6 linked regions of the Macaca mulatta genome follow. The protein of the gene in region 5 interacts with the protein of the main gene of each other region in a pairwise test. Links are inferred from orthologs where the notes say so. Each region holds a gene or a part of one and is shown on either strand. Other genes may lie near its edges. The genes, in order: USP53, PPFIBP2, DPPA4, PTPN4, CRK and PSMC6.

What was found.
Region 1: the proteins of CRK (region 5) and USP53 interact in binary tests that used the Homo sapiens proteins (3 or more experiments, as listed by UniProt). The two-hybrid records come from large-scale screens. The link is inferred for Macaca mulatta from reciprocal best matches to the Homo sapiens genes CRK and USP53.
Region 2: the proteins of CRK (region 5) and PPFIBP2 interact in binary tests that used the Homo sapiens proteins (3 or more experiments, as listed by UniProt). The link is inferred for Macaca mulatta from reciprocal best matches to the Homo sapiens genes CRK and PPFIBP2.
Region 3: the proteins of CRK (region 5) and DPPA4 interact in binary tests that used the Homo sapiens proteins (3 or more experiments, as listed by UniProt). The two-hybrid records come from large-scale screens. The link is inferred for Macaca mulatta from reciprocal best matches to the Homo sapiens genes CRK and DPPA4.
Region 4: the proteins of CRK (region 5) and PTPN4 interact in binary tests that used the Homo sapiens proteins (3 or more experiments, as listed by UniProt). The link is inferred for Macaca mulatta from reciprocal best matches to the Homo sapiens genes CRK and PTPN4.
Region 6: the proteins of CRK (region 5) and PSMC6 interact in binary tests that used the Homo sapiens proteins (3 or more experiments, as listed by UniProt). The two-hybrid records come from large-scale screens. The link is inferred for Macaca mulatta from reciprocal best matches to the Homo sapiens genes CRK and PSMC6.

What each region holds. Positions count from the first base shown.
Region 1 is NC_133410.1:128,294,176-128,297,778, reverse strand, and holds part of USP53 (ubiquitin carboxyl-terminal hydrolase 53), read right to left. Parts: coding exon 3,473-3,603; intron 1,871-3,472; coding exon 1,794-1,870; intron 1-1,793. UniProt on the Homo sapiens protein: Deubiquitinase that mediates 'Lys-63'-linked deubiquitination of tight junction proteins, such as MARVELD2 and LSR, and which is involved in the survival of auditory hair cells and hearing.
Region 2 is NC_133419.1:57,938,806-57,942,408, forward strand, and holds part of PPFIBP2 (liprin-beta-2), read right to left. Parts: intron 290-3,603; coding exon 151-289; intron 1-150. UniProt on the Homo sapiens protein: May regulate the disassembly of focal adhesions. Did not bind receptor-like tyrosine phosphatases type 2A.
Region 3 is NC_133407.1:174,306,198-174,309,800, reverse strand, and holds part of DPPA4 (developmental pluripotency-associated protein 4), read right to left. Parts: intron 3,190-3,603; coding exon 3,069-3,189; intron 819-3,068; coding exon 658-818; intron 572-657; coding exon 521-571; intron 1-520. UniProt on the Homo sapiens protein: May be involved in the maintenance of active epigenetic status of target genes. May inhibit differentiation of embryonic cells into a primitive ectoderm lineage.
Region 4 is NC_133417.1:17,732,644-17,736,860, forward strand, and holds the start of PTPN4 (tyrosine-protein phosphatase non-receptor type 4), read right to left. Parts: upstream 2,884-4,217; 5' UTR 2,792-2,883; intron 1-2,791. UniProt on the Homo sapiens protein: Phosphatase that plays a role in immunity, learning, synaptic plasticity or cell homeostasis. Regulates neuronal cell homeostasis by protecting neurons against apoptosis.
Region 5 is NC_133421.1:3,001,090-3,005,364, reverse strand, and holds the start of CRK (adapter molecule crk), read left to right. Parts: upstream 1-1,415; 5' UTR 1,416-1,530; coding exon 1,531-1,771; intron 1,772-4,275. UniProt on the Homo sapiens protein: Involved in cell branching and adhesion mediated by BCAR1-CRK-RAPGEF1 signaling and activation of RAP1.
Region 6 is NC_133412.1:125,843,053-125,846,655, reverse strand, and holds part of PSMC6 (26S proteasome regulatory subunit 10B), read right to left. Parts: coding exon 3,542-3,603; intron 1,747-3,541; coding exon 1,626-1,746; intron 1,498-1,625; coding exon 1,417-1,497; intron 1-1,416. UniProt on the Homo sapiens protein: Component of the 26S proteasome, a multiprotein complex involved in the ATP-dependent degradation of ubiquitinated proteins.

The sequences.
Region 1 (3,603 bases), on a different chromosome or scaffold from region 5:
ATACTTGGTTACAAAACTTATCAGATTTTATCAGGCGAGACATTCGAATATGGGAAAGGAAGGTTATTTCCTTAATATAAGTGTTTCCTTCTGATAGTATACCATTTGATGAAAACAAAATAATTTAACATTTAATCACATTCTTTGTCTGCAAACTGAAAAATAATCCCCACAAAAGCCTTAAGGATAATAAAGACTAAAAAACATTAAAATTTGCTGTTCATTGCTCTTTTATATTGTGAAAAATTATATCCCTTCTACTCCTCTGAATTATAAAATTTGAAAACATTGTCTTTGATCGCAGCATAATAATTCCTTTGCAAATCATCTTCCTTGACTTCTCTCCCCAAAATTCTTCAGGTATATACTCCCAATAGCAACCCTGAATCCTGTATACATTCAAATTTCTAACTTTCTTTGCTTCTGGGCTACTATGTGTTGCTAACAAATCGCCTATAATCATTCCACACCATTGCACAGTTATTGTTGCCAAACGGAACTTTTCCAGAAGGCTGTTTATCAATCTTTCTATCAGTTTTTAACTACTGTGACAGTCATTAGAATTGTACACACATGCTTCCATTCAATTCCAAGCACCTGTAAAACTGCAGTTTTCTACCTTCTCTGAAATCAGGCCTGGTTAGAAGACTAGCTCTGGTCAATGATACAGAAGTGGAAGTGCATGTGTCACTTCAGGTTTGAAGTTTTAAGAGTTGGCAGGTGATTCTCCACAATATATCTTCCTTTATCTCCTTCTCACCCATATCCCCTTAGCCCGGGATCCTGAGTGACTCCTAAGAAGAGATTACACTGACCACCTCTGGACTTGTATTGTGAGCAAGAAACAAACTTGAGTTAACACCTGGAGATTTTGAAGATACTACCATTGCATAATCTAAAACCTACCTATCCTGATAAGAGTTTCCCCTTTTCTCATAGCTTTTCCCATCCTTTAAAAGCCTTCAAGTATGAATGCTCTCAACTTCCCTCATCATTACTCATAAACTTATCAGTAACAGGACCATTCTTATCTTCTTTACTCTTACCTCAATGGACCCCAGTGGACCATTCTCTTTTTATGCCTATTTCGCATAGGCATAAAAGGTAGGGGGTAAAGTCAGAAAGACCAACAGTCTATAGACAGTTTCTGAGCTATCAGAACATGACATTTTTATTTGCAAATATAGAAATATACCTTCTGTTAAGTAAAAGTAAAGTGTTAACAAGCCACCATAGACAGATACTCCTGCCTATTTGAGTCTCAAATAACAGTTTTAAGGACAAGTATGAAAAGCAACGTGTTCAAGGGTCCCTAATGTGGACACTTAAAATGCAAATGGCTACTAAAAAAAAATTGAAAGACTTCATCATCTAAATCAAAAAATAATAATGCTATCTTTAATATCAGAGACATATCCAAACAGCACATTAAAAAGGCTGCAAACTTCAAAAGCAATAGTTATCCAATCAAATAAAAAGTAAGATACAAAACCATTATTAACACTTTGTGAAGCCAATGTGGAAAGTATAGCATGCTTTCTTTTGTATAACAATATACATACAAAAAAGAATGCTGATTTCCTTCTTTCCACATGTACTTGATTAAAACATAATTTAAAACATAATATATTCATAAAATGTGTTTATTGATATTTTAGGGTTATTTAAAAATAATGTTCATAGTCATTTTTATAGTCATATAGGATTTTCTCTCAGGTACATCATAATAGCAAACAATACATTACTACAATTTATTTTTTACAGCAACTATTATATTCAAATAAGCTTTTTACCTTCTAAGTGATTTTGGCTCTGAAGGGAGGTCCAGTCCCCACATTCTTTATTTAGGTTGCTTGTCTTAATCTGGTCACTAGAAAATAAAATACACACTAAACACATCAGTTATTATGGATTGCCTTTGTTTATTCTAAAAAAAGAAAAAAAAATTTGTTAAACATTTATTATATACCATGTGTTGTTCTAGGGCTTAATGTACATTATTTAATACTAAAAGTAGTTATCTTTATTTTACAAGAGAAGATAAAGACTGTAAAAGTCAAACAAATTTGCCCAATAATTAAAATCTAAGTCTATCTGGTTATAAAATCCTGATCTTTCTACTACCGTAGGCTACTCCATTCCAAGAAGAATTATAAAATTACCTTGTCAAGTCTTTTTTTTTTTTTTTTTTTTTTTTTTGCCAGGACCTTTTGCTCTTTTGCCCAGGATGCAGTGCAGTGGTACAAACATGGTTCACTGCAGCCTCAACCTCCTGGGCTCAAAAGATCCCCCCACCTCAGCCTCCCAAGTAGCTGGGACCACAGGCATATGCCACCATACCTGGCTAATATTTTAAAACTTTTTCATAGAGATGAGATCTTTCCATGTTGCTCAGGCTGGTCTTGAACTCCTGGGTTCAAGCAATCCTCCTGCCTCAGCCTCCCAAACTGCTGTGATTACAAGTGTGAGTCACCACACCTGGCCCTTTCCTTAAGTCTTTATTGAAACAGCATTTTCATAAAACATGAGCAGTTGATATTTGCAAATCTACCTTTTAATAACAAATGTGGTCAAATATCAGCTAATATCAAACAAACACATGTTAGAAGGATTAAACAGTAATATAATAAATGTCTTTAGAATTAATTGAACACAAAGTTATTTGATTGAATTTTTTTATATTTGCTAAAGGGAAAATATCTTCCATGAGAATGAGTTGTGACAGTAAAAACTAGCTTCAGTTCTGAGTTACAAATGTTAGAGATGAGATTATAAACATTACATACATTGAAGAATTAAACAACAGGCCAGGCACAATGGCTCAGGCCTTTGATCCCAGCACTTTGGGAGGCCAAGGCAGGTGGATCACTTGAGATTGGGAGTTCGAGAGCAGCCTGGCAAAACCCCGTCTCTAAAAATACAAAAATTAGCCAGCCATGGTAGTGTGTGCCTATAGTCCCAGCTACTTGGGAAGCTAAGGCAGGAGAATCACTTGAACCCAGGAGGCAGAGGTTGCAGTCACCCATGATTGCACCACTGCACTCCAGCCTGGGCGACAGAGCGAGACTCCTTCCCCTCAAGACAAAAAAAGAAGAATTAAACAACCAATTTAATGACTGAGATGATACCAATTGAAGTCTGTGCTTTAAAACCAGTCAATTGTTGACAGTGACACAACAATGATAATAAACTTCAGTACTTTCCAAATTTTCTAAAAATAAAAAGCTGCTATTTTTGGAATCAGGAAATAACTATTAAAAATAGAAATCTAAAATATCAAATAAACTGCAATATCCTAGGTTTCTTTACAGAAACATACTTGTGTTTAGAAGAAGCAAACTTTTTAAAGCTCTTTAAAACAGCTCATGCTGTTTCCATCCTATTTAATTGACCCCAAACTTCGACAATTACTTCATGCAATTAACAAGAAAGAACAGTGATGGAAAAATGATTCACTCAACTTTTACATTACCTGAAGCATACTGTTTCTTTAACAGCACTGATATCCATTACTGTACCATTTCCATCGATAACAGGTGAGTCCAAATTAGTAGATCCATTACTGATGTGATCACTGCTTTCATATCCAGACTCAGTCCTTTG
Region 2 (3,603 bases), on a different chromosome or scaffold from region 5:
GGGACCACCCCAAGGTACAACTTGTTCCAGCCACCCACCCCACCATTCTCCAACTGTGGATTGTGGTGGTAGGTGCAGGGATCTTATACAATCACGGAAAGTGCCAAGGATGCTGCTCAGAGGCCACCAGCACCAGGACTGGACACTCACTCAGCCTCAGCAGGCTGCTCCCCGTGGCGTCAGGCTGGCAGACAGTGGGAGGAGATTTGGCAGCCTCTCCATTGGGCGTGGGTCCCGAAAGCTTCCCAGGTAAAGTGGGATATTTGTGCTCTGCCAAGAAAGGGCTGTCCTATTGGAAGGTGAGAGAAAAAGAGAGATATCGACTTAGCTGTCAGCCTCAGTTAGGAAATCCTTGGATACAGAACAACTCCCTGTTTTCTAAGAGACATTTTTCACATATGGTGACTTGAAGACCCCTCAAAGATTATTTAGCTAGTCTGAGAAAAGGGACCAGAGTTCCAAGGAAGGAAGAAACTTTTCCAAGGCCACACAGTAAGACAGGGACAGAGTCAAGTGCAAATCTGGGGCTGACTGCAACTGCCTCTAATAGGAAGTGAAGTTGTCTTGCAAAGGGGCCTTTGCTGTCTGGCCTAGTGCTCAGAGACCCAGTGAATTAACAGCCATGAATGACTCTGCAAGCTCTTTGGATATGAAAATTGGCATTCTAGGGGGCGGAGCAAGATGGCCGAATAGGAACAGCTCCAGTCTCCAACTCCCAGCGTGAGCGACACAGAAGACCGGTGATTTCTGCATTTTCAACTGAGGTACTGGGTTCATCTCACTGGGGAGTGCCGGACGATCGGTGCTGGTCAGCTGCTGCAGCCCGACCAGCGAGAGCTGAAGCAGGGCGAGGCATTGCCTCACCTGGGAAGCACAAGGGGGAAGGGAATCCCTTTTCCTAGCCAGGGGAACTGAGACACACAACACCTGGAAAATCAGGTAACTCCCACCCCAATACTGCGCTTTAAGCAAACAGGCACACCAGGAGATCATATCCCACACCTGGCCGGGAGGGTCCCACACCCACGGAGCCTCCCTCATTGCTAGCACAGCAGTCTGTGATCTACCGGCAAGGCAGCAGCTAGGCTGGGGGAGGGGCGCCCGCCATTGCTGAGGCTTAAGTAGGTAAACAAAGCTGCTGGGAAGCTCGAACTGGGTGGAGCTCACAGCAGCTCAAGGAAACCTGCCTGTCTCTGTAGACTCCACCTCTGGGGACAGGGCAATAACAAACACAGCCGAAACCTCTGCAGACGCAAACGACTCTGTCTGACAGCTTTGAAGAGAGCAGTGGATCTCCCAACACGGAGGTTGAGATCTGAGAAGGGACTCCCTGCTCAAGTGGGTCCCTGACCCCTGAGTAGCCTAACTGGGAGACATCCCCCACTAGGGGCAGTCTGAAACCCCACACCTTACAGGGTGGAGTACACCCCTGAGAGGAAGCTTCCAAAGCAAGAATCAGACAGGTACACTCGCTGTTCAGAAATATTCTATCTTCTGCAGCCTCTGCTGCTGATACCCAGGCAAACAGGGTCTGGAGTGGACCTCAAGCAATCTCCAACAGACCTACAGCTGAGGGTCCTGACTGTTAGAAGGAAAACTATCAAACAGGAAGGACACCTACACCAAAACCCCATCAGTACATCACCATCATCAAAGACCAGAGGCAGATAAAACCACAAAGATGGGGAAAAAGCAGGGCAGAAAAGCTGGAAATTCCAAAAATAAGAGCGCATCTCCCCCGGCAAAGGAGCGCAGCTCATCGCCAGCAACGGATCAAAGCTGGACGGAGAATGACTTTGACGAGATGAGAGAAGAAGGCTTCAGTCCATCAAATTTCTCAGAGCTAAAGGAGGAATTACGTACCCAGCGCAAAGAAACTAAAAATCTTGAAAAAAAAGTGGAAGAATTGATGGCTAGAGTAATTAATGCAGAGAAGGTCATAAACGAAATGAAAGAGATGAAAACCATGACACGAGAAATACGTGACAAATGCACAAGCTTCAGTAACCGACTCGATCAACTGGAAGAAAGAGTATCTGCGATTGAGGATCAAATGAATGAAATGAAGCGAGAAGAGAAACCAAAAGAAAAAAGAAGAAAAAGAAATGAACAAAGCCTGCAAGAAGTATGGGATTATGTAAAAAGACCAAATCTACGTCTGATTGGGGTGCCTGAAAGTGAGGGGGAAAATGGAACCAAGTTGGAAAACACTCTTCAGGATATCATCCAGGAGAACTTCCCCAACCTAGTAGGGCAGGCCAACATTCAAATCCAGGAAATACAGAGAACGCCACAAAGATACTCCTCGAGAAGAGCAACTCCAAGACACATAATTGCCAGATTCACCAAAGTTGAAATGAAGGAAAAAATGTTAAGGGCAGCCAGAGAGAAAGGTCGGGTTACCCACAAAGGGAAGCCCATCAGACTAACAGCAGATCTCTCGGCAGAAACTCTCCAAGCCAGAAGAGAGTGGGGGCCAATATTCAACATTCTTAAAGAAAAGAATTTTCAACCCAGAATTTCATATCCAGCCAAACTAAGTTTCATAACTGAAGGAGAAATAAAATCCTTTACAGATAAGCAAATGCTTAGAGATTTTGTCACCACTAGGCCTGCCTTACAAGAGACCCTGAAGGAAGCACTAAACATGGAAAGGAACAACCGGTACCAGCCATTGCAAAAACATGCCAAAATGTAAAGACCATTGAGGCTAGGAAGAAACTACATCAACTAACGAGCAAAATAACCAGTTAATATCATAATGGCAGGATCAAGTTCACACATAACAATCTTAACCTTAAATGTAAATGGACTAAATGCTCCAATTAAAAGACATAGACTGGCAAACTGGATAAAGAGTCAAGACCCATCAGTCTGCTGTATTCAGGAGACCAATCTCACACGGAGAGACATACATAGGCTCAAAATAAAGGGATGGAGGAAGATTTACCAAGCAAATGGAGAACAAAAAAAAGCAGGGGTTGCAATACTAGTCTCTGATAAAACAGACTTTAAACCATCAAAGATCAAAAGAGACAAAGAAGGCCATTACATAATGGTAAAGGGATCAATTCAACAGGAAGAGCTAACTATCCTAAATATATATGCACCCAATACAGGAGCACCCAGATTCATAAAGCAAGTCCTTAGAGACTTACAAAGAGACTTAGACTCCCATACAATAATAATGGGAGACTTCAACACTCCACTGTCAACATTCGACAGATCAACGAGACAGAAAGTTAACAAGGATATCCAGGAATTGAACTCATCTCTGCAGCAAGCAGACCTAATAGACATCTATAGAACTCTCCACCTCAAATCAACAGAATATACATTCTTCTCAGCACCACATCGTACTTACTCCAAAATCGACCACGTAATTGGAAGTAAAGCACTCCTCAGCAAATGTACAAGAACAGAAATTATAACAAACTGTCTCTCAGACCACAGTGCAATCAAACTAGAACTCAGGACTAAGAAACTCAATCAAAACCGCCCAACTACATGGAAACTGAACAACCTGCTCCTGAATGACTACTGGGTACATAACCCAATGAAGGCAGAAATAAAGATGTTCTTTGAAACCAATGAGAACAAAGA
Region 3 (3,603 bases), on a different chromosome or scaffold from region 5:
ACAGGATTTCACCATGTTGGCCAGGCTGGGCTGCCTCATTTTTATTATTCTTTGCAGACTTGGTGAGAAGTAGGGATGGAAGGCCAGGCACGGTGGCTCACACCTGTAATCCCAGCACCTTGGGAGGCCGAGGTGGGCAGACCACGAGGTCAGGAGTTCAAGACCAGCCTGACCAAAATAGTGAAACCCCACCTCTACTAAAAATACAAAAAATTAGCTGGGCGTGGTGGCGGGTGCTTGTAATCTCAGCTACTTAGGAGGCTGAGGCAGGAGAATTGCTTGAATTCGGGAGGTGGAGGTTGCAGTGAGCTGAGATGGTGCCACAGCACTCCAGTCTGGGTGACAGTGTGAGACTCCATCTCAAAAAAAAAAAAAGGAAAGCAGGCATGGAAAATACTGTTCTTTCTTAGAACTAGGGGTGGAGGGACAAGCGGAGGCTAAGACAGCTCCTTTACTCACTTTTGAGGCTACAATAGGTAATTAGGATAAGCACTGAAACGTACATCCTTTAAAAAGTTACCTTTTGATTTGGGTAGGCAAAGGCACACAGGCGCTTATATGCATCCAATTTCTAAGACAACAGAAAACTGAGTTAGTAAGGCAAGTAAGGTTCCTACCCTTCCTCCCAGCAGTACCATCCCCAGCCTAGGCCCTCACCTGGCCTTTGGAGCTCAGCTTCAATTGTTGGCACCAGGCCCGCAGAATGTCCCGGTGAATCAGATTAACAGGTGGCAGTTTAGAGGGTAATGGAGGGATTGGTATCTTCCTCTGAGGTCTGGGGTTGTCACTGCACTCTGCCTTCTTCTTAGGACAGAGCACTGAAGGAGAATGGAATCAAATTAGTAGTAATTAACTTTGTGTACCTTTTCAGAATTTCAAAAGTAAAATCACTGTTTTTTTTTTTTTTTCTGAGAGTCTTGCTTTGTCGCCCGGCTGGAGCGCAGTGGCGCAATCTTGGCTCCCTGTAACCTCCGCCTCCTGGGTTCAAGCGATTCTCCTGCCTCAGCCTCCTGAGAAGCTGGGATTACAGATGCCCACCACCACGCCCGGCTAATTTTTTTTCTATTTTTAGTGGAGGTGAAGTTTCACCATGTTGGCCAAGCTGGTCTCGAACTCCTGAACTTGTGATCTGCCCACCTAGGCCTCCCAAAGTGCTAGGATTACAGGCCTAAGCCACCGCGCCCGGCCTAAAATCAGTTTTAGTTATTAATAGTTCAATCCCTCTCAAACCTAGGACTTACCACTTCTAAATCCCAGTTTTATTCCTCAATCTCCCCACTACTCAGGTACACGTGCTCCTTTGTGAACCCTTTAGTCCACAGAACCCAGGTGGTGGCACCGGAGATGCCACTTCCATCCCAGGGGAATTATCACTGTCTTAGACTTGAGATCATACCTTTGTGAACCCCTTAATCCACAGAACCCAGGTGGTGGCACCAGAGATGGCACTTCCACCCGAGGGGAATTACCGCTGTCTTAGACTTGAGATCATACTCAGTGGTGTCCTCTACACACAGAGCAAACTCAACACCTGACAATACTACACAGGCAACCACTAATATTCCTAATTCTGCCAGCCCACCCTAGTCAGGGCAGCACTCTGGTTTCATAGCAGGTATGCTTCCTTAGCTGAGCTGTGTTTCTGTTCATCCTGCTTCTGCACCTCACATACCTTGTCTTCATTCAGTAAAGATATTTGGCTAGGCACAGTGGCTCACACTGTAATCCCAGCACTTTGGGAGGCCGAGGTGGGGGGATAACCTGAGGTCAGGAGTTTGAGACCAGCATGGCCAACATGGTGAAATGCTGTCTCTACTAAAAAAAAAAAAAAAATTCGCTGGGCATGATGGCACATGCCTGTAATCTCAGTTACTTGGGAGGCTGAGGCTGGATAACTGTTTGAATCCGGGAGGCAGAGGTTTTAGTGGGCCAGGATCATGCCAAAAAAATGTCTAAGGCTGGGTCTGGTGGCTTACACCTGTAATCCCAGCACTTTAGGAGGCCAAGGCAGATGGGTCACTTGAGGCCAAGAGTTCACAACCAGCCTGGCCAATATGGTAAAATCCCGTCTCTACTAAAAATACAAAAATCAGCCAGGCATGGTGGCACACGCCTGCAATCCTAGCTAACTTGGGAGGCTAAGACAGGACAATCGCTTGAACCAGGGAGGCAGAGGTTGCAGGGAACTGAGATGGTGCCACCACACTCTAGCCTGGATGACAGACCAACACCCTGTCTTGGTGTCTCAAAAAAAAAGACACAGCCTGTAATGACACTTAGAGTTAGTAGGGTTTACTGTGTACATATTACTTCTTTTTTTTTTTTTTTTTTTGAGACAGAGTCTTGCTCTGTCGCCCAGGCTGGAGCGCAGTGGCCGGATCTCGGCCCATTGCAAGCTCCGCCTCCCGGGTTTACGCCATTCTCCTGCCTCAGCCTCCCGAGTAGCTGGGACTACAGTTGCCCGCCACCTCGCCCGGCTAGTTTTTTTTTTTTTGTATTTTTTAGTAGAGACGGGGTTTCACTGTGTTAGCCAGGATGGTCTCGATCTCCTGACCTCGTGATCCGCCCGTCTCGGCCTCCCAAAGTGCTGGGATTACAGGCTTGAGCCACCGCGCCCGGCCATTACTTCTTAGGCATAGTGTAAGTACTTCACTTAATTATTCTATGTAAATTTTAACACTCCATTCCCACACCCGAATAAAGGTAGATATTGTTCAAACTTATTTTTAGAATAGGTAGTCCGGTTTCAAGAATGGGTCTTCAAATTTACAGCTGTCTGTTCCCAAATCATTGCACATTGAAATTCTTAACTCCAAGTAGCAAGTGAAGGAAAAAATGATCAACAGAACCAAATATGCTGTGGAAGTCTGAAGATAGGAAGGGATCGGTTAGGGCAATGGTGACCAAAAGATGCTTCAGGAAGGTGCAGTTTAAGCTAGACTCCCATGAACTGTAGGATTTGCAAAATATATGACGGAAATTTCTTCCCTGGCTTTTCTTCTTCAGAAAAATTCCTCTGGCTTCTAAGACCTGAGAAAGTGGAATTTGAGGATTTGAAGACCTCTTACCTTTATTGCCTTTGACAGACTTTTTTTCTTTGGTTCCCTTTGCTGATGTTCCTGGCAAAGCAATCATGTTTGGTTGATTAGAAGTTTGCTGATCCTCTTCCCTCGACTTCTCTGTGGAGGTCTACTGGGAACAGAGGAGCTGGTCAGTCATTCCTCCAGTGTCCAAACCACACATACACTACCTGCCTCAAGATAACTCACTTCTAAGGCACCAAGGCAGTCACTGGACTCCACTGGCAGTGTGGATTCTCCTCTGGGTATCATCTTAATACACACTGTCATGCAGGCCAGGCGTTGTGGCTCACGCCTGTAATCCAAGTGCTTTAGGAGGACAAGGCAAGAGGATCGCTTGAGTCCAGTAGTTGGATACCAGCCTGAGCAACAACAAGTGAAACCTTGCCTCTACAAAAAGGAAACAAGATTAGCTGAGCATGGTGGTACATGCCTGTAGCCCGAGCTACTCAAGAGACTGAGGTAGGAGAATCACTTGAGCCAGGGAGGTAGGTAGAGGCTGCATCGCTGCACTCCAACCTGG
Region 4 (4,217 bases), on a different chromosome or scaffold from region 5:
AAGATACCTCTAATGAAATGGAAGAGAGTCTAATAAATTTCCCCTCCTCTTTTTCCCCATTCATGCAAAAGGTAAGAAATTATGCTGTTCCTAGACAATGGTACTTTCATATCAATAAAGATGATTCTATGGTATTTCTACATTATACCCTATCTCACCGTCTGTACTACTAATTAAATGTTAAATGAAGAGAGAACAACACCTCCTTCCTACAGTACTTTTCTGGCAAACAATAAAAAGGATGTTCGGAATGCTAAGCCAAACTCAAGGCTTCAGAGCTTATTCTAGTAAACTGGCAAATTTAACACATCTGGACTGTGGTACATAAAAAACTTCATAACATGCAATAACCGAGAAAAACAACAAAATTCAACTCAGTTCGTAAACTTCTACCAATAGCTAAATTTTATATAGGAGCAACAATTCATATTTAGCCACAATAACCACTCCTAGCCACAGCAACCATTCCTAGTGAGTTGATCAATTTTGCATTCTAAGAATTTAGGCAGAATTTTTAAACATTTGCCCTTAAACATACACCAAACAAGATTTCCACATATTTTTAGAAAAGTTTTCTTGTTTAAAAGTGGCCATATTAACTCTCAAGCGGAGGCAAAAGTACTCTCGATAACAGACCTCCTTGCAATTCTCTGCTAGTCTCTTACTTTGCTCCTTAAAGACAACTTACTAAAAACCATGATCACTGATCCCACTTTTAGAGTTTGTAAGTCATAAATAAATACTAAACAGATAACAATGGATACTGTACAACTCAATTATGTTTAAAAAACAATACTATTTTAAAAACACAAATCACACTTTAATAACAATCTAACGAAGTCATATAAGTTAAAAAAAAAAAGCTGAAAAGTTTTTATTACCATCTCACATAAACTGTATTACTATCTCACTTTATTATACTTTTTTTAAAAGTTAGGCATCTATGCCCAAACTGATTAAATCGAGTATGAGAGATCTATAATTTTTTTTAAAGTCCTTCAACAATAATGAAGTGTACCCTGGTCACAGAATAGTTCAAATGAAATTTCCTGAGGCTGCATTCTAAGTACATCCGACCCAGAAAGTATTTTTAGCAAGTATGTTCAATCAATGCTGGTTTTATGCCTAGCCTAAATTAGAAATTGGGTGTTATAAATTTAAAGTAACAATGTTACCAGGGACATTTTAAAAGATATTTAATTAGAACATAAGAAAAAAACACAAGTTTGACTCAATTCAATACCTACAGCTCTGAAGCTAAGACGTTACAAAACGGGCAGTAAGAAAATCCCATCCTCATCTATTACTACTTTTGAGGAACCTGTGATTTTCTAACTTAATAAACGTGGACCTACTCAATTAATATTTTTAAAAACTACAAAATAGTGATGCCTCCTTGGATTTTAAAAACCTCTTGCCAAATTTTTAAAACAGACTAGCAAAATCACAAACATTCCCATGTACAAAAAGGACTGTTTCTCTTATAAATCACTCAAGATCATATTATGGGACCGTGCGTGTTTCAATGCAAAATGTAACAAAGATATGTGTACCATAAAAAATGCGAAGAGACATAAAAATTGCTTTTGTGGTAACTGGAGCATAAATTTATTCTGACAAAAAATGGTGATGTCCACAAAATGATCACATTCATGAGCTAGTGAAGAGGTTCTGTACAATACACAAACTTTTGCTTAGGAGTTTTTTCTTTAAAAGAAAGCTGAATTTATATTAATCAAATCTAAGATTTAAATGATATATCTAGCTCTATTCCATTAAGCACACTTTAGGCTCTGAACAATACTTTATTTTAAGGCCATCTCCTTCCCCCTTAAAATTGAAAAAAAATTTTTTTCCTCTGGCACGTTCAAGTTCAGAAAACCAAGATTTTAAAATGCCCTGGTTTTTACTATTCCAATCTTCTTTCTACTCTAATTGCCTTTTGCAAGTCGGACACATTGGCCTTTTGTTTTTATCTTTCTCCATAAATACGTTTTAAATGTGACCAATCCGCTGTACTCTTTCAACTGGGCCCAAGATCTGGACACAGAAACTTAGTATTACTGAAACCTCTTATTCGAAAAGCAGCTGGCATACTGCAGATGTATAACAAGTTACCCTAGAACAAGCGTTCTGAAAAATCCTACAAATCGTCCTTGTACATACTGATGTCACTACATGATGCAAGCCCAGACATAAAATCTTCCACCCCAAGTTTTGCAGAAACATCCACACATCACCTGTGCAACTGTAAGCTGTTCCATTTTATGGAAACCCTGCGAAATGCATCATTATTTACCTACAACTTTTTTTTTTTTTTTTTTTTTTTTTAGCTGAACTACAGATTCCCAAATACAGGTATAGACTGATAGAATCATAACAGGCTTAAAACTTCAATGGTAGGAAGAGTTGGCTCATGCAACGTGCAAAAAGCGCTCATATGAGCCAATTTAAGAAAAAAAAAAAAAAAGGAATTCTACCAGCAATGGAAAACTCAAGATTCCAAAGCTTTACCTAGAGTTTAGGTACTGGGGAACATTCCATCTCCGCACCTATTCCATCCCTTGTCCCTTCTCTGACCCATAACAGAGATTCCAACTATAACCCCCGCAAGAGCAGAGGTCCCGGGAAGAAAGGAAATAAGGCATTTTTTTTTCCCTTCCTTTTAAATCATCCTCGTACCTCAGGCTTGCTCTACCTGGCTCACCTCCCAGGAGCCACACATGCAGGTAAGAGCCTCGCGTTCAGCGTGCAGGGCCGAGAGGCCGGCGGGGACCGGAGAACCTCTTACCTTCGTATATCACAGCCGCGTCCTCTCGGCTGGAGAAAAAAAGCCTCGAGGCCCCGGCGCGCAGGGGAGAAGCGCGTCCGCCGTGCCGCTCCGGGGGGCTACCTCAGCGCCCCCCGAGCAGCCGCCGCCGCAGCGGTCGCGCCACGACCCGGAGCCGCCAGCACCACCTCATGCTGCTGGGCAGCCGCGGGCCGGCGTCGCCAGGGAGGTGGCAGGGAGGCGGGCAGCCGGCGACCTCTCCTACCTCCCTGCGGGGATGAGATAATCCACACCCCCAAAAGTGCGTGGGGGAGGGGGGCCTGGCCCCAATCCTCCGACCCCTCGGCCAAAGCCAAGTCTCTTTCCTCTCCGGCTCAGGCCCAATTCCGGCCCCTGGAACCCAGGAGTCCTGAGAGAACAATGTTGCTGGTGGGGCGCGAGGAGCGGAAAAGCGCGCTGCACGGCGTGAGCTGGCGGGTAATCCTGGGCAGCGTTTGTGTGTGAGAGTGCAAGAGGAGCTCAGTCACCCCCCTCCTTCTCCACCTCCCCTTCCTCCCCCTCCTCCTCCGCTATCTCTTCCTCCTCCCTCAAGCACACCCCCTCTCCCAGGCCGCAGCATAGCAACCGAACATGGCGGCTGCGCAGGCGCCGCCAGTCAGCGGCCGGGAGCGGCGGCGGCAGCAGCAGGAGGCGATCTCGCGAGAAGCGAGGCTAAAAGCCTGCCCCGCCAGCGCAGGGATGAGAAGTCGCTCCAGTCGGAGCGCGAAGGGACACGCAGGTGCGAGAGAGGACGGCCTAGCAGGATTGGGAGGGCGGATTGGAGCGCGGATTGGAGGGGGAGGCGGAGCGCTGTGGCCCCCGCCCCGCAGCCGCATCGCGATTGGTTGCTTGGGCTGCGACCCCTGCTGCACCCACTGACCTGAGGGACCGGATAGTGGGACAAGAAGCCAGTGTTAAAAGGGAAAACCAGACCGCTTGGCAGCAGGTCGCCCCAACCTCAGTGCTCCTAAAGGATATAAGTTTTGGGGGGCAGTTTTGAATCATTTCCTCTCCTAAACATAGGCTCCAAAACAAAGCCTCAGCAACCAACCTTCGTTTATAAAACAAACGTTCGGGGGTGCCTTCTGTGTGCCTGAACGGTGTGCTTTTTAAAATTTAGTTCATTCCAATAACATGAATTTGGTGTTATCACGCCAGGGTTTTTAGCTAGGTGCATAATATTTTATTGGTCATACAAACTTATTGGTAATAGGACAGTTGCCTGCGGGTGATCTCAGCTGAAATGGAGGAAGAAGGGATTTGGGGACCGCCACACTTCCTTTTTGCCCAATTTTTTATTAGTGCCCTTTTCTGTCTCCAGGTGCCTTCTTTGTCCTTCCTTGCTCTTAGCTTGAGCATCCTATCAGAGCCTACCTTTATAAAGACGATCTTTCCAAAACCACTTTCC
Region 5 (4,275 bases):
TATTAGTTGAGACGCGGTTTCACCATATTGGTCAGCCTGGTCTAGAACTCCTGACCTCAGGTGATCCGCCTGCCTCAGCCTCCCAAAGTGTTGGGATTACAGGCGTGAGCCACCGTGCCCGGCCAGATCTGTATTTTAGAAAACTCAGTGGGAGCTGTTTGCAGTGCAATTAGAGGCAACCAGACGAAAGGGCACCAGCGAGCAAGCCACTCATAGGAACACAGTCCAGAGTGACCATGACGGCAGTGAAAGTAGGAGATGCCCCTGGCTACAATTTAGTGTTTAGAAGTATCTGGGAAGGTGACCCGAAAGCCTCAAAAGAGAGGAGAACTCTGTACTTCACGTGGCTTGGCACACTCTGCTCCCTTTGCTTTGAATGTCCTTCCCCTTTTGTCATTCAGCAGTCAACACATGCTACCTCCTCTGGGAAGCCCTCTTGGATTACTCCGCAGACTGGATGGAGGGGGGCTCTGCTCTGTGTTCATGTCCGTTTCCCATGATAGCGCTTGTCAGCATTTGTCATCCTTTTGTCATGCAGTTTCCTGGTTCCTCTCACTGGTGTGTGAGTTTGAGGAGTGCAGGGCCCAGCCTCCATCACCTTTGCACCCGCAGTGCAGGTGGAGTGTCAATAACAATGTCCTGAATGAATCAATGAAAATGAGAACGTCAGCCGGCCTGTGGAGAAGCTAGAGGAACGAGAAGAAACAGACCGACATGGCCGGGAGCGATGTTTCTCGCCTGTAATCCCAGCACTTTGGGAGACCAAGGCGGGTGGATCACCCGAGGTCAGGAGTTCGAGACCAGCCTGGCCAACATGGTGAAACCCCCGTCTCTACTAAAAATACAAAAATTAGCCAGGCGTGGTGGCGCTCGCCTGTAATCCCAGCTACTTGGGAGGCGGAGGCAGGAGAATCGCTTGAACGCGGGAGGCGGAGGTTGCGGTGAGCCGAGATCGCGGCACTGCACTCCAGCCTGGGCGACAGACACACCGTCTGAAAAAACAAAAAAAGAAAAAGAAAAGAGAAACAGACTGATATCCCAGGAAGCCTGGCCGAGAACTGAGGCCCCAGGGCCACACGCGTCTTTTCTCCTGCAATCCTGTCTGGGAGCCGCCGCCTAGAAGTCCCGGGCCGTCCGGGAACGCGAGCCTGAAGCAGCACCGCGCTGTCGGCGGCGCAGGCGCACGTCTCTGCGGGAGGCTGCGAGGCCCCGCCCCCGGGCCCTAGACCCCGCCTCCCATCCCCCTCATCCCCGGGCCGGGCAGGGCGGCACCGCCCATGAGGCCGCATGCGCAGTGCGCGCGCGAGGGCGCCTTGCCCTTCTCCCAATGGCGGGCCGCGGGCCCCTTCCCGGCAGCCTCCCTCGGGCAGGGAGCGCGTCATTTCCGGTGGGGAAGGCCCGCGGCTGCCGCCGCCATTTCGGGCGCTGCTGTGAAGCTGAAACCGGAGCCGGTCCGCTGGGCGGCGGGCGCCGGGGGCCGGAGCGGCGCGCGCGGCGGCGGCACCCCAGCGTTTAGGCGCGGAGGCAGCCATGGCGGGCAACTTCGACTCGGAGGAGCGGAGTAGCTGGTACTGGGGGCGGTTGAGTCGGCAGGAGGCGGTGGCGCTGCTGCAGGGCCAGCGGCACGGGGTGTTCCTGGTGCGGGACTCGAGCACCAGCCCCGGGGACTATGTGCTCAGCGTCTCAGAGAACTCGCGCGTCTCCCACTACATCATCAACAGCAGCGGCCCGCGCCCGCCAGTGCCGCCGTCGCCCGCCCAACCTCCGCCGGGTGAGGGACTGACGGGACGGGGGGCCCTGGGCGGGGTGAGGGCCGCGGAGCTCCCAGCCCGGCTGGCTGCTCCTCGAGAGCGGACCCTCGGGGTCGTGGGCAGAGGGCTGGGTGACCGTGGCAGGGGCCCGCCGGCTGCTGGGGCTCATTCCCACCCGGGGAACAGGAGTGTGGGGGAGGAGGAGCCGCGGACCGAGGCCCCGGGGTGTGCCTGGGAAGGGCAGCCCCGGGGAAGGGGAACTGCTTCGGCCCCAGGGTGGGGCTGGCTCCCGGGCCAGGCGCAAGGGTAGGGCAGGGCAAGGCAACGTGGGGACAAAGAGCTGAGGGAGATGTTGGCACTGCGGGGGCATCACTTGGCAGCGGCGCCCAGAATGAATCCGATAATCCTACAAGTGGCTTTTGGGCTGGAAGCGTTTCCTGCCGTGTTGGAGAGCCGGGTTTGGCCGTGCTCCCCTGGTGGCCTTTGGTAGGAAGTCACCACAAACTGGCCGGGAGGGATGGAGACACCCTCAGGAAACCGGTTAGTTTTTTCCTTTCTTGGGCATTTTTCCAAAATCCTTGTACCGTCCTCTTCCCCCGTGGAGGACGAAGGTGGTGAATTAAGTGATAGAAGAAAGCCTTCAGTGACCAGCCCAACCCAGTTTAAGGCGATGCCTGGCTGCGTGCAGGAGATCTAAGCGTCCAGAAGACTGTCCGCCGGTAGAGGGTTCTGGTTTTCAAAGTGTTTAGTGGAGGAAAGACATTTTATTCCAGAGAATAAACCAGAAATGAGGCAGTGGAAACAGACCCTTCCCTGGATGTGACTGGAGCTTCATTTTCCTTGGACTTACACATTGTCAGTGTGTACTTCAGGGCGTGACCTTGCTCAGTAAGATGGGGCTGCGGGCTGAGTCTTCCTGGATGGTGGGAACAGACTCTACGCCAAGAACATAAATTACCTGCGCTGGGTTTTTCTTGCCAGGGATCCCTGAGATTGACTGTCTTTCCGATGCCGTTGGAGTTGATTTGGGAGTGTTTCAAGGGAATAGATAGATGCCCTTAGTACTGGAGATTTGTGAGGTACGAAGTAATTCTGGGGTTCTCATTGTATGTGTACCTGTTTAACAGCATCAGGAGTCCTCGTGCCTTCACACTGTTGCCAAGTCGAAGCTGTTTCTTCTTGGCCGCTGAGACTGGGTTCAGACTAGTCTCCTATGAATCAGGAAGCTCCTGAGCCATCCTCTGTAGACTTTCTCTTGTAGGATCGTTCTAATTTAGATTTACTTGTTCCGGCCAGAAATGGAGAATTGAATAGCCAGTCTCTTTGTTATTAACACATACCAATTTTTATTTTACTTTTTCCTGAGACGGAGTCTCGCTCTGTCGCCCATGCTGGAGCTCAGTAGCGCGATCTCGGCTCATGGCCACCTCCACCTCCCCGGGGCTCCCGGGTTCAAGATTCTCCTGCCTCAGTCTCCCGAGTAGCTGGGATTACAGGCACCCACCACCACAACCAGCTAATGTTGTATTTCTAGTGGAGACAAGATTTCACCAGATTGGCCAGGCTGCTCTCAAACTCCTGACCTCAGGTGATCCACCCTCCCAAAATGCTGGGATTACAGGTATGAGCCACCGTGCCTGGCCAACACATAACCAATTTTTTTCTTATTTTATTTATTTATTTATTATTTATTTATTTTGAGACAGAGTCTCTCTCTGTCACCCAAGCTGGAGTGCAGTGGCGCCATCTTGGCTCACTGCAACCTCCGCCTTTTGGGTTCAAGTGATTCTCCTGCCTCAGCCTCCTAAGTAGCTGGGATTACCAGTGCCTGTCACCACGCCCAGCTAATTTTTGTATTTTTAGTAGAGATGGGGTTTTACCAGGTTGACCAGGTGGGTCTTGAACTCCTGACCTCAGGTAATCCACTCGCCTTTGCCCCCTCAAAGTGCTGGGATTACGGGTGTGAGCCACTGCACCCAGCTTTGTTTGTTTGAGGCGGAGTTTCACTTTTGTTGCCCAGGCTGGAGTTCAGTGGTGTGATCTCAGCTCACTGCAATCTCTACGTCGTGGGTTCAAAGGATTCTCTTGCTTCAGCCTCCCTAGTAGCTGGGATTACAGGCACACGCCACCATGCCTGGCTAGTTTTTGTATTTTTAGTAGAGATGGGGTTTCACCATGTTGACCAGGCTGGTCTCGAACTCCTGACCTCAGGTGATCCGCCCGCCTCAGCCTCCCAAAGTGCTGGGATTACAGGTGTGAGCCACCACACCCAGCCCAACACATAACTATTTTTAGAAAATGAGTATGGGGTCTATAAGTTCACAAATTATTGTAGATCTTTCTCATTCTGGCCAGTTTAATGGTGTTATGAGATGGGAATATTGATGTACCTGTGTTGGCCCTGAACCAGATATATGCTACTTTGATGCCACCTGCATGGTATCTGGGGTTTTGCATTATATGTAGTAACATGATGGCAAACTGTTATTGAAACTCACTTTTCAGCCTTTTGTTTGTGTTTGTT
Region 6 (3,603 bases), on a different chromosome or scaffold from region 5:
TACTTCTTCTGTCCCCTCTGTGGAACTCTTTTTTTTTTTTTTTTTTGAGACAGAGTCTTGCTCTGTCGCCCAGGCTGGAGTGCAGTGGCGCGATCTCGGCTCACTGCAAGCTCCGCCTCCCGGGTTCACGCCATTCTCCTGCCTCAGCCTCCCGAGTAGCTAGCTGGGACTACAGGCGCCCACAACTGTGCCCGGCTAATTTTTTGTATTTTTAGTAGAGACGGGGTTTCACCGTGGTCTCGATCTCCTGACCTTGTGATCCGCCCGCCTCGGCCTCCCAAAGTGCTGGGATTACAGGCGTGAGCCACCGCGCCCGGCCTCCTCTGTGGAACTCTTAAAAAAGAAATGTCTAAACTCAATGCCTCTCTTCTCAATCTCTCTGAAACCCATCTGAAATAGGCTTTCACCTCCACCACTCCCAAGAAGCTACTTTTGACAAGATTATCAATTACCTCCACATAGTTAAATCCAAAGGTCTACTCTGAGAACTCTTTATCTGACCTATTGTCAGCATTTAACAGGAATAAATTTAAAACAAAACAACAACAACAAAAAACCAAACCAAAAAAACCAGGCCGGGTACAGACGCACATGCCTGTTATCCCAGAACTTTGGGTGGCCGAGGTGGGCAGATTGCTTGAGCCCAGTAGTTCAAGATCAGCCTGGGCAACATGGTGAAACCCCTTCCCTACAAAAAAACAAGCCAGGGTTGGTGGTGTGTGCCTGCAGTCCCAGCTAATCAGGAGGGTGAGGTGTGAGGATCATTTGAGCTTGGGAGGCAGAAGTTGCAGTGAGCTGGGATCACACCACTGCACTCCAGCCTGGGCAAGAGTGAGACCCTATCTCTAAAAAATTACCTTCTTGGTCAGTCCTTCCCTATGCTAATCCTCCCTGTCGTTTAAAAATGTATATCCTCATGCCTGCTCCTGGCACTTCCCTAATTTCCTATCCCCCTTTTCTTTTTTTTTTCCCCTGAAACAGGGTCTTGCCAAACTGGAGTGCAGTCACATGATCATAGCTCCCTGCAGCTTCAAACTCCTGGCCTCAAGTGATCCTTCTGCCTTGGCCTCCCAAAGCATTAGGATTACAGGAGTGAGCCACCATGCCCACCCCCCACTTTCTTGCTTTATTTTTCTCCATAGCACTTACCATCATCTATTATACTTTGTTTTACTAACTTTATCTGTTTTTTCCTAACAAGAATGTAAGTTATCTAATGGCAGAAATTTGTCTGTTTTGTTCCTTGATATATCGTCAGCCCTTACAAAACACTTACAATGGTTCCTAGCATAGAGTAGATGCTCAATAACTATTTGCTGAATTTAAAACCAGATTTAGGAAACTATCAGTAATTTCTAACAGTATTTTTCTTCATTTACCAAATATAAATACATATAAAATAGATGACTTCCTTACCTATTTCACCATGCTTTGTAATGGGACCTGCGTGGATTTTCAGTATGTCTAACCTTGCTTGTTCATTTGGCAAATCAATATCTGAAAATAAAAAATTATTTTATAGTCCAGTTTTATCTTTTATAAAATACAGTGGAAGGTGAAGTGAAGCACGGAAAAACAAATGGGCACAAAGGGAAATAGGTAGTAGGTGAAGAACCTTAACTCACGTATTTTTCTATCTAATCTTCCTGGACGCAGCAAAGCAGGATCCAGTGTATCTGGTCTGTTTGTAGCCATGATCATTTTAACTCTATGCAGAGTATCAAATCCATCCATTTGATTCAGTAACTAAGAATATTAAGAATCAGATTGTACAAACATTCTAACCATTAAAAAAATAGCATGCACCTTTTATATATCTAATGCCATGAAATGTATTGTCTACTGATAGATATGTTCTATCTTCAGAATGGTCATTTGATAGAATTCTAATTTTCTCTCTATTATATAAAGGGATATACTTTCTAGCCTCAAAGTTCTAAGCTAGATTATGTGCCTTTTAATAGCTATGTATCTTTCTATAGCTACCAGGTAGTTTTAATAAATCTGAAGGCTTCCATCATGTCAAGAATTATGAAATTAAACTATGTGGATCTAATTTCCAATGTCCAAAATTTTATCAATTTTTTTAAAAATAAAAGCTAATAATAAAATCCAATATATAAAGTGCTTATGATATGTCAGATACAACATTTATATTAGGATAACTGGATACAAAGATTTTTCTACAAATTTGATAGTAAACCCATAATTTTTTTTTTTTGAGACAGAGTTTCACTCTGTCACCCAGGCTGGAGTATAGTGGCCTGATCATTGCTCACTGCAACCTCCGCCTCCTGGGCTCAACCAGTCCTCCCACCTCAACCTCCTGAGTAGCTGAGGGACTGTTTTTTTTTGTTTTTTGTTTTTTGTTTTGAGACAGATTCTTGCTCTGTTGCCCAGGCTGGAATGCAATGGGGCGATCTCAGCTCACTGCAACCTCTGCCTCTTTGTTCAAGCAATTCTCCTGCCTCAGCCTCCTGAATAACTGGGATTACAGGCACGTGCCACCACGCCCAGCTAATTTTTGTATCTTTAGTAGAGACACTACATTGGCCAGGCTGGTCCTGATGCCCAGACCTCATGATCTGCCCATCTGGGCCTCCCAAAGTGCTGGGATTACAGGCAGAAGTTACCATGTCTGGTCTATTTTTTCAAATAATTCTGTACACAGAAATATTGAAAGACATAAAAAATATTATCTCAATTTCTAAAGTTTTCTTGAATAAATGAAAAACCTTACTGCATTTAACAAACTAAAATATAGCTAGTCTGACAATGTGTTAGTTGATGATATATTTAGTTACTTGAATAAAATTAGTATTTGTGTCATTTAAAAATATCTCAATTTAAGGTTTCTAAGATATTTTATAATTTCCAAATACTATGTATCTTCTGAGCAGATCTGTATAATTTATGAAAAGAGATTTTTCAAATACTCCTAAGAAGAAAGAATGGACACTGCATTTCCCATGCTACCTAGTTTCTATTTGAAGTGGCAAATGTATTTGGACTCTTGTTATCACTTTCACAGAATTTGGAGTGGGGAAAGGTAAAACTGGGGGAAAGCTTTATGTGCATTCTTTCATTGTGTCAACTATCCTCTTCAATTATCACAACTATTTTAATTGCCTCAGTCTCAGCAATAAAGTGAGAGAAAAAATAATTTTTAGAGCAGCTGCATACATAATTATAGCTCATTTATTGCCAACGGTCTTAATATGACCATTACATAAAATGTCTTCATAAAACTACCACAAGATCACATTCATAAGAATCAATTTAAATATATGAATGACTGATCTGCTCAAAACACACAGAATAGTACAGGTATATACCAAATGGAATTTGGCAGATAGCCTTATTTTCTAGTAGTCATTTTCTTAGAGTTTGTGATAGAGAAACATGTTCGTTCCTGACAATATTTTCAAATTTTATATTTCATTTAAAATGTTCTATATATTTTGACTATCAAATATGCAATGTTCAGTTCTTCATTTAATAAACACTGGTTTCTTTATAAACCCCCTTTACTAAATATTACCTCCATTAACGTTCTCTGAATCTCTCTGTCAGCTGAAGTACCCTCAGAAAACCGACGACCAC